3 linked regions of the Rattus norvegicus genome follow. Each later gene encodes a partner of the first gene's protein in a complex. Links are inferred from orthologs where the notes say so. Each region holds a gene or a part of one and is shown on either strand. Other genes may lie near its edges.

The links.
Region 2: Herpud1 (region 1) and Fam8a1 share a complex: the UniProt entries of both Homo sapiens proteins name them as parts of the HRD1 complex. The link is inferred for Rattus norvegicus from reciprocal best matches to the Homo sapiens genes HERPUD1 and FAM8A1.
Region 3: Herpud1 (region 1) and Ube2j1 share a complex: the UniProt entries of both Homo sapiens proteins name them as parts of the HRD1 complex. The link is inferred for Rattus norvegicus from reciprocal best matches to the Homo sapiens genes HERPUD1 and UBE2J1.

Annotation. Positions count from the first base shown.
Region 1 is NC_086037.1:10,608,163-10,611,817, reverse strand, and holds part of Herpud1 (homocysteine-responsive endoplasmic reticulum-resident ubiquitin-like domain member 1 protein), read left to right. Parts: intron 1-24; coding exon 25-102; intron 103-191; coding exon 192-266; intron 267-1,597; coding exon 1,598-1,728; intron 1,729-3,268; coding exon 3,269-3,391; intron 3,392-3,655. UniProt on the Homo sapiens protein: Component of the endoplasmic reticulum quality control (ERQC) system also called ER-associated degradation (ERAD) involved in ubiquitin-dependent degradation of misfolded endoplasmic reticulum proteins.
Region 2 is NC_086035.1:18,232,199-18,235,538, forward strand, and holds the end of Fam8a1 (protein FAM8A1), read right to left. Parts: intron 3,317-3,340; coding exon 3,172-3,316; 3' UTR 636-3,171; downstream 1-635. UniProt on the Homo sapiens protein: Plays a role in the assembly of the HRD1 complex, a complex involved in the ubiquitin-proteasome-dependent process of ER-associated degradation (ERAD).
Region 3 is NC_086023.1:52,221,787-52,225,441, forward strand, and holds part of Ube2j1 (ubiquitin-conjugating enzyme E2 J1), read left to right. Parts: intron 1-947; exon of another isoform or gene 948-1,003; intron 1,004-1,105; coding exon 1,106-1,179; intron 1,180-2,198; coding exon 2,199-2,330; intron 2,331-3,655. UniProt on the Homo sapiens protein: Catalyzes the covalent attachment of ubiquitin to other proteins. Functions in the selective degradation of misfolded membrane proteins from the endoplasmic reticulum (ERAD) and is essential for cells to recover from ER stress.

The DNA.
Region 1 (3,655 bases):
GCTTTTCTTTCCCTTTACGATCAGCGCCCAGAGGACCAGAGGTTAATTTATTCTGGGAAGCTGCTGTTGGATCACCAATGTCTCCAAGACTTGCTTCCAAAGGTATCTGTCATCCTTAGCTCTTGCCTTGGGGTGTGGTCAAGCTCTGGCAGTTGGAATTCAGGTCCTGAAGTGTCTCTTGTTCCATTCAGCAGGAAAAGCGACATGTTTTGCACCTCGTGTGCAATGTGAGGAGTCCCTCAAAAAAGCCAGAAGCCAGCACAAAGGTATGGTGCCTTTTCATGATAACAGCTACCTGTGTCTCTGATTCCCAAGGGAGGGAGAAAGGAAGTTGAGTGAAACTTAAGATGTTATGGTGTTGGGGTTGGGGATTTAGCTCAGTGGTAGAGCGCTTGCCTAGGAAGCGCAAGGCCCTGGGTTCGGTCCCCAGCTCCGGAAAAAAAAAAAAAAAGATGTTATGGTGTTTCCCCCAAGGCATGCCAGAACTTAGAGGCTGTGTTCTCAGTAGAGCGAGGGCTGAGTGGTAACCCTCAGTGCTTACCACTGGGCATAGTAGAAAGCAGACTGCCATATGCATGCCGTGTGCAAAAGCAAAGTCACGCCTTTGACCTGAGGTCACCGTTTGCCCAGGATGGCAGATGAAAGTGGTGTTTACAGAAATGAACACGTTTCTCTAAGGGACTTTATTTATTTATTTTCAAGACAGGGTCTCTCTGTGTAGGTCTCTCTATGTACCCCCAGCTGTCCTGGAACTCACTCTGCAGATCAGGTTGACCTCAAACTCCCAAAGTCCTGCCTGGCGTCTGCCTCCTGAGTGCTGAGGTTAAAAGCATGTGTCACAACCACCTGGCTAGGAATATTAATTTTATAAAGAGTAGAGCCATAAACATATTTCCTATGGAAATTTCTGTCATGATTACTTGGGTAGGAATAGACCACAGTCTTCATTACATGATCTCTAAAGACTTTGGTTTGACAGTGAAACACATTTGCTCTTCCTCTCGACAACATCTGCTTATGTGAACACTACACCCCTTCTAGAGTGGTACTTGACTTACATTTGTAGTTCACTTGTATTTCCTGCAACTTCTGAGTGTCACACGGGAATTCTCTTTCCTTTACGTTGCTGCCTAGTTATGTGTCACATTTGATTTCTAGACCTACTGGGTTCCACAACATACATGTTAGCATTAGTGGGAAGCTTTCTCAGTAGTGGTAGCTGTAGTCACAATATTTTCCTGTGACAACCGTAGTTATTCTTAGAGAAAAACATGGATTATCCTTTTTATTTTGCATGTGTGTATGTGTGTGTGTGTATTGGTGTCCGTATAGAGAGTTTTTGCTGGGGCTCGAACCCAGGGCCTCATGCAGGCAAGGGAGAGGTCTACCACTGAGCTACCTTTCCTCAGCTCTAGCTTCTGTGTGTTCACAATTGTTGCAATGAACAAATTCAGAATCTTCCTATGACATTGCACTTAATTTTGTCAGGCTGAGGGGCGGGGACAGGGACATCAGTCACTTGGTGGCAAAATAATTAGCCTGATTGCCAACAGTTGCATCGGGCCCTTTGTTCTGACATTTGTGTTACTCGCTTTAGGGTGCTGAGTCCACAGAGCAGCCGGACAACACTAGTCAGGCACAGTATCCTGGGGATTCCTCAAGCGATGGCTTACGGGAAAGGGAAGTCCTTCGGAACCTTCCTCCCTCTGGATGGGAGAACGTCTCTAGGTGAGTGTCCATGCAGAAAACAGTCGTACTTCATTTGTGTCAATTGAAAAATAAGGTGTGTTTAAGCTGGGCATCCTGGCGCATGCCTTTGATCCCAGCCCTCAGGAGGCAGAGGCAGGCAGATCTCTGTGTTGGAGGCCACCCTGGTCTACAGATCAAGTTCCAGGACATGCAGGGCTACACCAAGAAACCCTGTCTTGAAAAACGAATTGGTACAATGTGAACTTCAGGACGTACAAGATGGCTTCAGTCTAAAGACCTCGTGGATTTTTTAATATTAGTCTCTTGAGGTATATTTTTAAAAGTAGGTATATGAGGCAAAAACACGGGTTGTTTAACCCGTAAATGGACCCAGTTGACCAGTCCTGTCCCTGTGGCGTTAAGCTACAGTGTTGAAAAGCTATAATCTGTGATGAGATCTGAGGATAAAGGTGAGGCAGAGCTTAACGATCAAATGCAAATAAACAAGTTGTTTTATTTTTTCCTCTTGGAGACTTTACTTCCATAAATGAAATAAGTTTTTGAGGCGCATCATTTGATTCAGGGATAAGAAGGAATAAGTATTATAATAACTTAAACCTCAGGTCAGGAACATTCTGGCCCAACACAAGATGGTTTATTGTTCTGGACATCCTTACTGTGATGTCTTTTTAGGAGCAGAAGCATTTATTTCTATGCGGTTTGTATTTTATCAGTCGTATCGAGGTTTCTTGGTTCCTAACTGGTAAGGAATGTAACAGGTTCTAGACTGTGGGGCTTCCTCCTTCTCATGTCCTCCTCTGACCTGTCCTAATTGATTAAGACTTGCGCAGCCTGCCAGGCAGTGGGTGCGTACGCTTTAGTCCTAGAATCCAGGAGGCAGAGGCAGGCAGATCTCTGAGTTGGAGGCCAGTCTGGTCTACAGATGGAGTCCAGGACAGCCAGGGCTGCACAGAGAAAGGGGAGCGGGAGGGAGAGGGCACAGCCCTTAGCTTCTCATTGCCTGCTCCCGGCAAGCGAAGGCTGTTCCTTGCCTGAAGAAGCGGGTCTGGCACGGCACAAATGTGTCCAAGAGTCCAGCCTGCTCCTTTGGCTTCTGAGCTCCTGCAACAACCTGTGTGAGGGACCAGATGAGCTGCAAACACAGGGAGGGTTGTCACGGCACTCAGAACTGCCACAGTGTGGATTTTTACCTGGGGTCGGGGCACGACAGAGTTCTTTCAGGATGGACTTGGCAATGTGGTTTGAGCACTCCCCTCTAAAGCACGATCCGTGGATTTAACCCCGAGTGAGGCTTGAGAGGGAAAGCATTAGCCTGTCAGCACAGCTGTGCAGAAAGCACGCAGCCTCCCCCTGCCAGGGCCGGACGGAGCTCATGTTTCCCATGGGATCTGATGAGCCACGGTGCTGCTGTCCTCAACATATAGGACACATCGTAGAGTTGACTATTGTGTTGTCTGTCCTGTCTCTTTAACTATTTATTATTGCTGATTGTAATTTAGTATCAAGGTCGTCGTTCCCAACCAACTCAAAGTGCTCTTTCGTTTGACCCTGCGTATAGGCCTGAAGCCGTCCAGCAGACTTTCCAAGGCCTCGGGCCCGGCTTCTCTGGCTACACCACCTACGGGTGGCTGCAGCTCTCCTGGTTCCAGCAGATCTATGCAAGACAGTACTACATGCAATAGTGAGTCTTACTCCGGCTGTGGGTGGGGGATGGAGAGAAATCCCATCATGGCTGTACAGTGCCAAATGGAGAGATGGGTGTGTCTTCCTGACTCCTGGAGCCCTGTTCTTTGTGGTCCTGGATGTAGTAGGGTGGAAATGATAGCAGCTTCAAGACTTGGGTATTGATGTAGAATTAGTTCCGGATAAGCTTTGCCATAGAGCTCTCCTCAGAAAAAGACGTTTTATAGATGTGATGTTTAGTGCTGCCTAGCTTGCGGAGAGA
Region 2 (3,340 bases), on another chromosome or scaffold:
GATATAAAGTTTAGGAAGTGATTCAGCAGCAGTTTTATGCAGGGTAGCTTGTTTAGTGGAAACTAGTTTGCTATAGTAAGTAAGTATAAGACCAAGTTAGTCATTTCTTTGTAATATGGAGTGGTGTTCCCTTCTCACTTGACTTTTATGCCTCTGAAATCCACTGTGGCCCCCAAATATGGGTCACATATTGACAGCTTGGCTTAGACTACTAGTACTTTGTCCAGAGCAGCACAGTTTAATTCCTAAAGATAGGGTCTTATACTGTAGTCCAGGCTGGCATTAAATTTGCAGCAATATTCCTACACAGTGGAATTACCACACTCAGATAACTGCCCTTGAGGAAATGGGCTTTTCCCATCTGATACTGTTGTAATGGCTAACAGCTCTGAGTGAATTTAACATGAAGCTGAGCTCATGTGCAGGTAACTTGTACTTTTTTTTTCCCCCCAGAGCTGGGGACCGAACCCAGGACCTTGCGCTCTACCACTGAGCTAAATCCCCAACCCCAACTTGTACTTCTTAAGGGATTTTTCATAGGTATTTGGATAGTGTAGGTTCTATCACTGAACCACAGCTCCAGGCCTATTAAAGAACATAGTTTAATCCACTGCAGCAATAGGCAGAGACAACACTCTTGACACTGATTAAGTATTTATTGAGACATAAAGTACAAACTGGTGACATACAAATATTAAAAATAGAATGTTTTGTTTATTATACGTGAGCCATTAGATACTGTTTGCAGGGCAAGTCCTACTATAGTGAACTACAAGGAAACCTACGCATACCAGCCAGGCACGAGTCAGGACTTTGGTCTTTGGTTATGCAAATGGAGGATGACAAGGAGCTGAACCAGTACCTGTCGAGAGTTTAGGAATACTGTTAATCTAGGCATTGTCCTCAAAGAGATAATGAAAGTTTAATGCCCCATCTTCCTTCAGAAACCCAAATTGCAAATGCAAAATTTCAACTCCTTTCTCCTCCTTGCCAGAAACAGACGTGTACTACAGTGAAACAGTCACTGGTCAGGCATGGCAATGGAGTACGTGCTTTGTAGGCAGGAGCAAGCAGTGAACACTGAAGGGGCATGTGTTTGTTACGGTCACGAAGAATACTCAGTAAGGCTGCTCATCGTGCTGTTACCCAGAGTGTAGAATATCCTACTTCAGAACACACTCAGCGGTGAGTACTGAGACTCAGTGCCTTAATCACGTGCCAGCTATTTAAACTAAATGGCAATGCGGCAGCAAGACTCCAGTCCTGATGTTTCGGGTTAGGGCATGCTCATGAAGAATGTCTTCATTTCTCAACTTCATTTTGCCCTTTTAGGATACAGCTTCAGCATGAGAATTACACTTTGACACAGGAAATTAGTATTTCTGTAAATTCTTCATTCACATGCTCCATTACATAACCCTATGAGGAAAAAAGTGCCAGATTCCCTTTCTCCTTACACCAGATTGAGGTGCTATTGTGGAGGCAAAGCAATACTTTATTACATCCTATATGGCACAGCTTGAATCCACAGCTGGATCTAAAGAACTTGTCTAGCAAACTGCAGTATTTATAACAAATTTAACTACTTATTTTACTGTATAAATAAAAATATCCTCAGTGAAAACTACAATAATTGGAGTAGAAACAATAATCAGTACTCCAGAGCTGTGTGGGTGAAGCGCATTTCAACTTGAATTGTGTCAGTGCAGGTTCAGTGGCAGGCGTTCGCAGCAGCTTCCTGATTTGTAGTGTGGAGTAAGAAGAGCTTTTTAAAGTCTTGCCAGAGCCACAAGTACATGCTCTATGTACTGCTCTTGACAAATAGTAGGCTTCCTGTGAAGTTTTATTTAAATAAAATTATTTACCAGAAGAAACCATGGTTGATGAACAATGAGCTATTAGGAGATATTTAAAAGTTATCTAGACATTAAATGCATTTTCACAGTTTTAAATGTCAAAAAAAAAAAGCTCACTTAAGATTGATATAACAACACATGGCATGCTCTTGCTGTTTAAAACCCAGGAACAAAGACTGCTCTCTTGTGCAATACAATTTAGTGTTTTTTGGGAAAATCAGATGCAACAATGAGTAAGAAGTAAAGTTTTAAACTAACATTTGGTACAGCTAGCTGACTGTGACATAACAAAAGCACACAGACATAAACCCAATTGTTTCTCCAACAGAGAGCAAAGTACAATGATACTACAACCAAGATGAGCTCAAAGAAGCTAAAGTCCACAGATGATGAAACAACAGTTCATAATGGGAACCTGGTAGTATTTAAGTTAGTCACAAAATACACTCTAACACCTGATGTTTTACAGTTATGGCACTGTAGAGAACATAGCAGTGCATTAGGGATTTGCTGTACATAGAGAATCTACAGGTACATTCAGAACGCTGGAGAACACACACTGGGAATGTTCGATGGATATTCCTCCCACGTATTTATGGTTGGATTTTAGGGTATGTGAATTTACAATGAACCCCTCCCCCCCAGAAGGCAATCACTAACTTACCTTTTTAAAATATCAATGATATATGACTCAGTACATTTTCATCATCATGAAAATCTTGCCTCCAAATACATAAGCAGTAAGAAACTGAAATATCCCGCCACTACTGCACCAAACTAGACTATCCTGGAAGTGTGGGATGAGGGACTCCTAGGTCTTCCTCACGTTCCCTCTTCTCCCAGGGAGTAAGTGGGTTATTGAGTTGATGCTCTTTCTCAATGCTCATAAGCAGCAGGGTCTGTAAGAAGAGTTGAGGGAGTTCTGCAGGTGTTTATAAAACACAATTGGATATTTCTCAATCACGCTAGGATAAGCCAAAATTTAAAGTTTGATTTAGAGAATTTAAAGCTGAAAATGCTTCCAGCAAATTTTGGTTATCTTAAATGTTAAAGTATGTATTTACCTATATATTGATTATGAAACTTTTGTTGTCCTATAAATATTTAACACTTGAATTTAATAGTTTTTCCTTCCGGAAAAGTTCCTTGACATTTAAGTACAGTCAACACTTTCAGAACAGTCCCCTGCACCACACCAGAGTGACTGCTTTAATTTTTAAATCATCAGCTAATGTAACGCAGAGATAATGTTGGCCTTGATACATAATTTAGTCTTGTCATTATTCCTAAGAGTGGAATTCAGGGTTTTGGGGCATCATCTGACCCCATTTCTTTTTACCACAATGGTTCCTGCTACAATGTCATAGGCTGTTCGATTATGCTGAAAAAACAGCAATGTGATGAAAGCAGGGAAAAAAGAAGCAATAGAAAAATTCTTGATCAAAGCTCGAATGGTGGACCTAAAGGAAACAAGCAGAAGCAGC
Region 3 (3,655 bases), on another chromosome or scaffold:
TCCAGCTCCTTCTGCCTCTCTTAGGCATTTCCAGCAGAGCCACTCTGCAATGGTATGTCTCCATCTCTGTTGGGTCCTCTGTTGGAGAGCTTTCCACTGAGCCTGGCTGGAATCCCTGTTCCCTCTTCTAGCTTCTATTCGGTCCAGCCTTCTCAGCTCCTGTAGGTAGTCCTTCACACCTGGTCCATACTGTCACAATGCCTTTAAGTTTTTTCAAGTCTTCTAATTGCTGTAAGCTTGTTAAGGCAGGAAGTTATTCTTTTTCTGTCTCCACTCCGATATTCTTCAAATATGTATTGTTTGTTCATTTTGCTTTAGTTGTTTGTTTTTATTTTTATGTGTAGGAATGTTTTGTTTGAATATGTGTGTGTGTACTATGTGAGCTTAGTGTTCATTGATGTCAGAAAAGGGCATTGGATCCCTGGAACTAGATTGTGATCCTCCACGTGAGTACTAGGAATCACCCAGGAGATGAGCCTCTGAGTATTTCCAGTGTGAGATTAAAGTAATCTTAGCTGTGGGAAGCATTATTCATGGCCTGAAGTTGTAGACTGATAGAAAAGGGCAACATGGACTGAGTACTGCACTCATCTCTGTGTTTCCAACTCTGCATATGTGTGATCTGCTAGCTTTGCATGATTTCCCACCATGAGGAATTGTGGGTGAGGATGGACCATCTTTGAGATGCTTTAGTCAGGGTATTTATTACAGCAACAGGAAAAGTAATGCAAGAAGATTTCAGTCCTTTAAAAAAATTTTTTGTACTGGCTGATTTTATGTCAACCTGACATGAAATCGTCAGGGAGGAAGGAGCCTTAATTGAGAAATGCCTCGCTAAGGTCTGTAGGCTACCTGCTTTTTGTCTGCTTGATTTTTAAACTACTTGATTTCAAGAGCTTGTACCTAACCCTTTGTTTTCTTCTTTCTGCCTACTCTCTGTGTTCCAGGCTGGCCTCGAACTCAGAGATCACCTGCCTCTGCCCCCTCAGAGCTGGGATTAAAGGTGCGTGCCATCATTCCTGGCTAGAAGTTTTTTTTATTAGTCTTTGCGGATCACTTAAAAAAGTATATTCTAACGATCTCCACTTCATGGGTTTTCTTTTAGCTGTTAAACGATTGATGAAAGAAGCCGCAGAATTGAAAGATCCAACAGATCATTACCACGCTCAGCCTCTGGAGGTTAGTTTGTCTCCGTCCTCCTCAGGACGGCAGCCCTGCGGTATCAGGATAGCCTTAGAGCTGCGTTTCCTTTGCTTGCGTAGTTAATGGTGTGCTTGTTTATTGATGTACCTTTTCTGTTTCCTGAGTGTTTCATTAGCCTTTCATCAGACTCCTTAGGCAGTGCTGACTCAGGGACTCTGTCAGAGGGTTTCAGATGCTAACCTGGTGTTCAGTGCTGAGGGAGGGAGGGAGCAAGCGGAGCAGACAGAATCGCAGACACTGTATAGTAAGAAGACCGATCCTTCAGGGGTCCCTGCAGCTGTCCTGGCTCTTGTGTTTTCATCTGTGAAAGGAGGATGCCAGTGGGCATGCTCAGATTTCCACAGTGATCGTGAAGTACACACGTTACAGTGAATAAGAACTTTGCACTTAGAATGGTAACTTGTTAACCCTGTAAGGACATATAGCTAGTCTGTTAATATTACTAACCAGTTATACATACTGGAGAATACTTTTTAAAGGTTTGTTAAAATAACTCAAATTTATACTAATGATTTGACCATATTTTCACTAATTGATAGTTAATTAAATTAATCTTATTTATGAGTGTATAATAGGACTCAGACACTTTAAATTATTTAAAAAGTTTTTAGCTTTTATAAGACATAAAATTTACATTAAATAATACATTTTAGGGGCTGGAGAGATGGCTCAGTGGTTAGGAGCACTGACTGCCCTACCAGAGGTCCTGAGTTCAAATCCCAGCAACCACATGGTGGCTCATAACCATCTGTAATGAGATCTGACGCCCTCTTCTGGTGTCTCAGTGTACTTACAGATAATAAGTAAATAAGTAAACAAATAAATAAATAATACATTTTACTTGTGACTTTTGAGGCATTTTGAGCACTAGAAACTATTATAGCACTATTAGAAAGCTTTTGATTTTCCTCACCTGGCATTTTTAATGTTACTATTGATAAAAATGATAATATTTTTAAATGTTCTTGATTCTCTGGATTCTTGATTTTGTTTAGGATAACCTTTTTGAATGGCACTTCACAGTTAGAGGGCCCCCAGATTCCGATTTTGATGGAGGAGTTTATCATGGACGCATAGTACTGCCACCAGAGTACCCCATGAAACCACCCAGCATTATTCTGCTGACGGTAAGAGCTCTCGGCTTTACAATGCTTGCAGGTTAACTTTTCCAGTCATAAAAAAATGAAGTACAACATTATTCTATTTTTTCCTTCAGAGCCTAGACCATAGAAGTACAATATTTTTCCCTCAGAATAATTCTGAGGAAGCTGATTCGTCTGTGAGGTACTGGTGATCCTAGCGAATGCTTATGTTTGTAGCACCGGTGTGAGGACTCAGTGAGTGCCTGTGTGAGGATGCTGGGTGTGCTGCCTGGCACATGGGGGACAGTTGGAGCAGCTCAGTCACATCACCTCTTTCCCATCCTCCTCACTTTCTTTTCCTAAGTCCCTCAAATTTATGATGAACTGTGATGTCTGTCTCACTGGGTGACAGTAAAATTATTCAGTATCTGTATATAGCTCTTAGGATAGGGCCTGCTACAGAAACCTTAATAAATGTTATTTCTGTTTCTATCTCAGAATTTCTTTTTTTTTTTTTTTTTTCTTTTTTTTCGGAGCTGGGGACCGAACCCAGGGCCCTGTGCTTGCTAGGCAAGCGCTCTACCACTGAGCTAAATCCCCAACCCCTCAGAATTTCTTGTTTGTTTTATTTTCATGTGAAATACTATTAATATCTAACTCTTTTAATTGCTAAACTTTTCTTCCCTTATTTATGTTTAATTTTCTCCTAACCAAGAAAATTGTAACACACCCACACCACACACAGACACACACACACACACACACAGACACAGACACACACACACACACACAGACACACACACAGACACAGACACAGACACACACACACACACAGACACAGACACACACACACAGACACAGACACACACACACACAGACACAGACACACACACACACAGACACAGACACACACACACACAGACACAGGCACACACACACACACACACAGACACACACACACACAGACACAGACACACACACACAGACACAGACACACACACACACAGACACAGACACACACACACACAGACACACACACACACAGACACAGACACACACACACACAGACACACACACACACACACACACACAGACCTTTTTATTGCCTTGTTTTTCTTTTTGGTAACCTTATCTTGTTTCGGCTATTGCAGTCTGGTTTCAGGGATAATTTTGTTGAAACATGCTTCCTCTACTTATCTGAGAACGGCCATGGCGTCTCAGTCTCCATCTTGTCCCATCTAACTTTTATCTGACCTGAGGGGTAGCACTTTGTGAAAAGATGTTCGTCCACAGCAGCGCACTAGCACAGCTAGGCTGTCCTTGGGAGGAGGCTGCCAAAGGCCTTTGGTGTAGAGTCAGCTTGCCAGGGC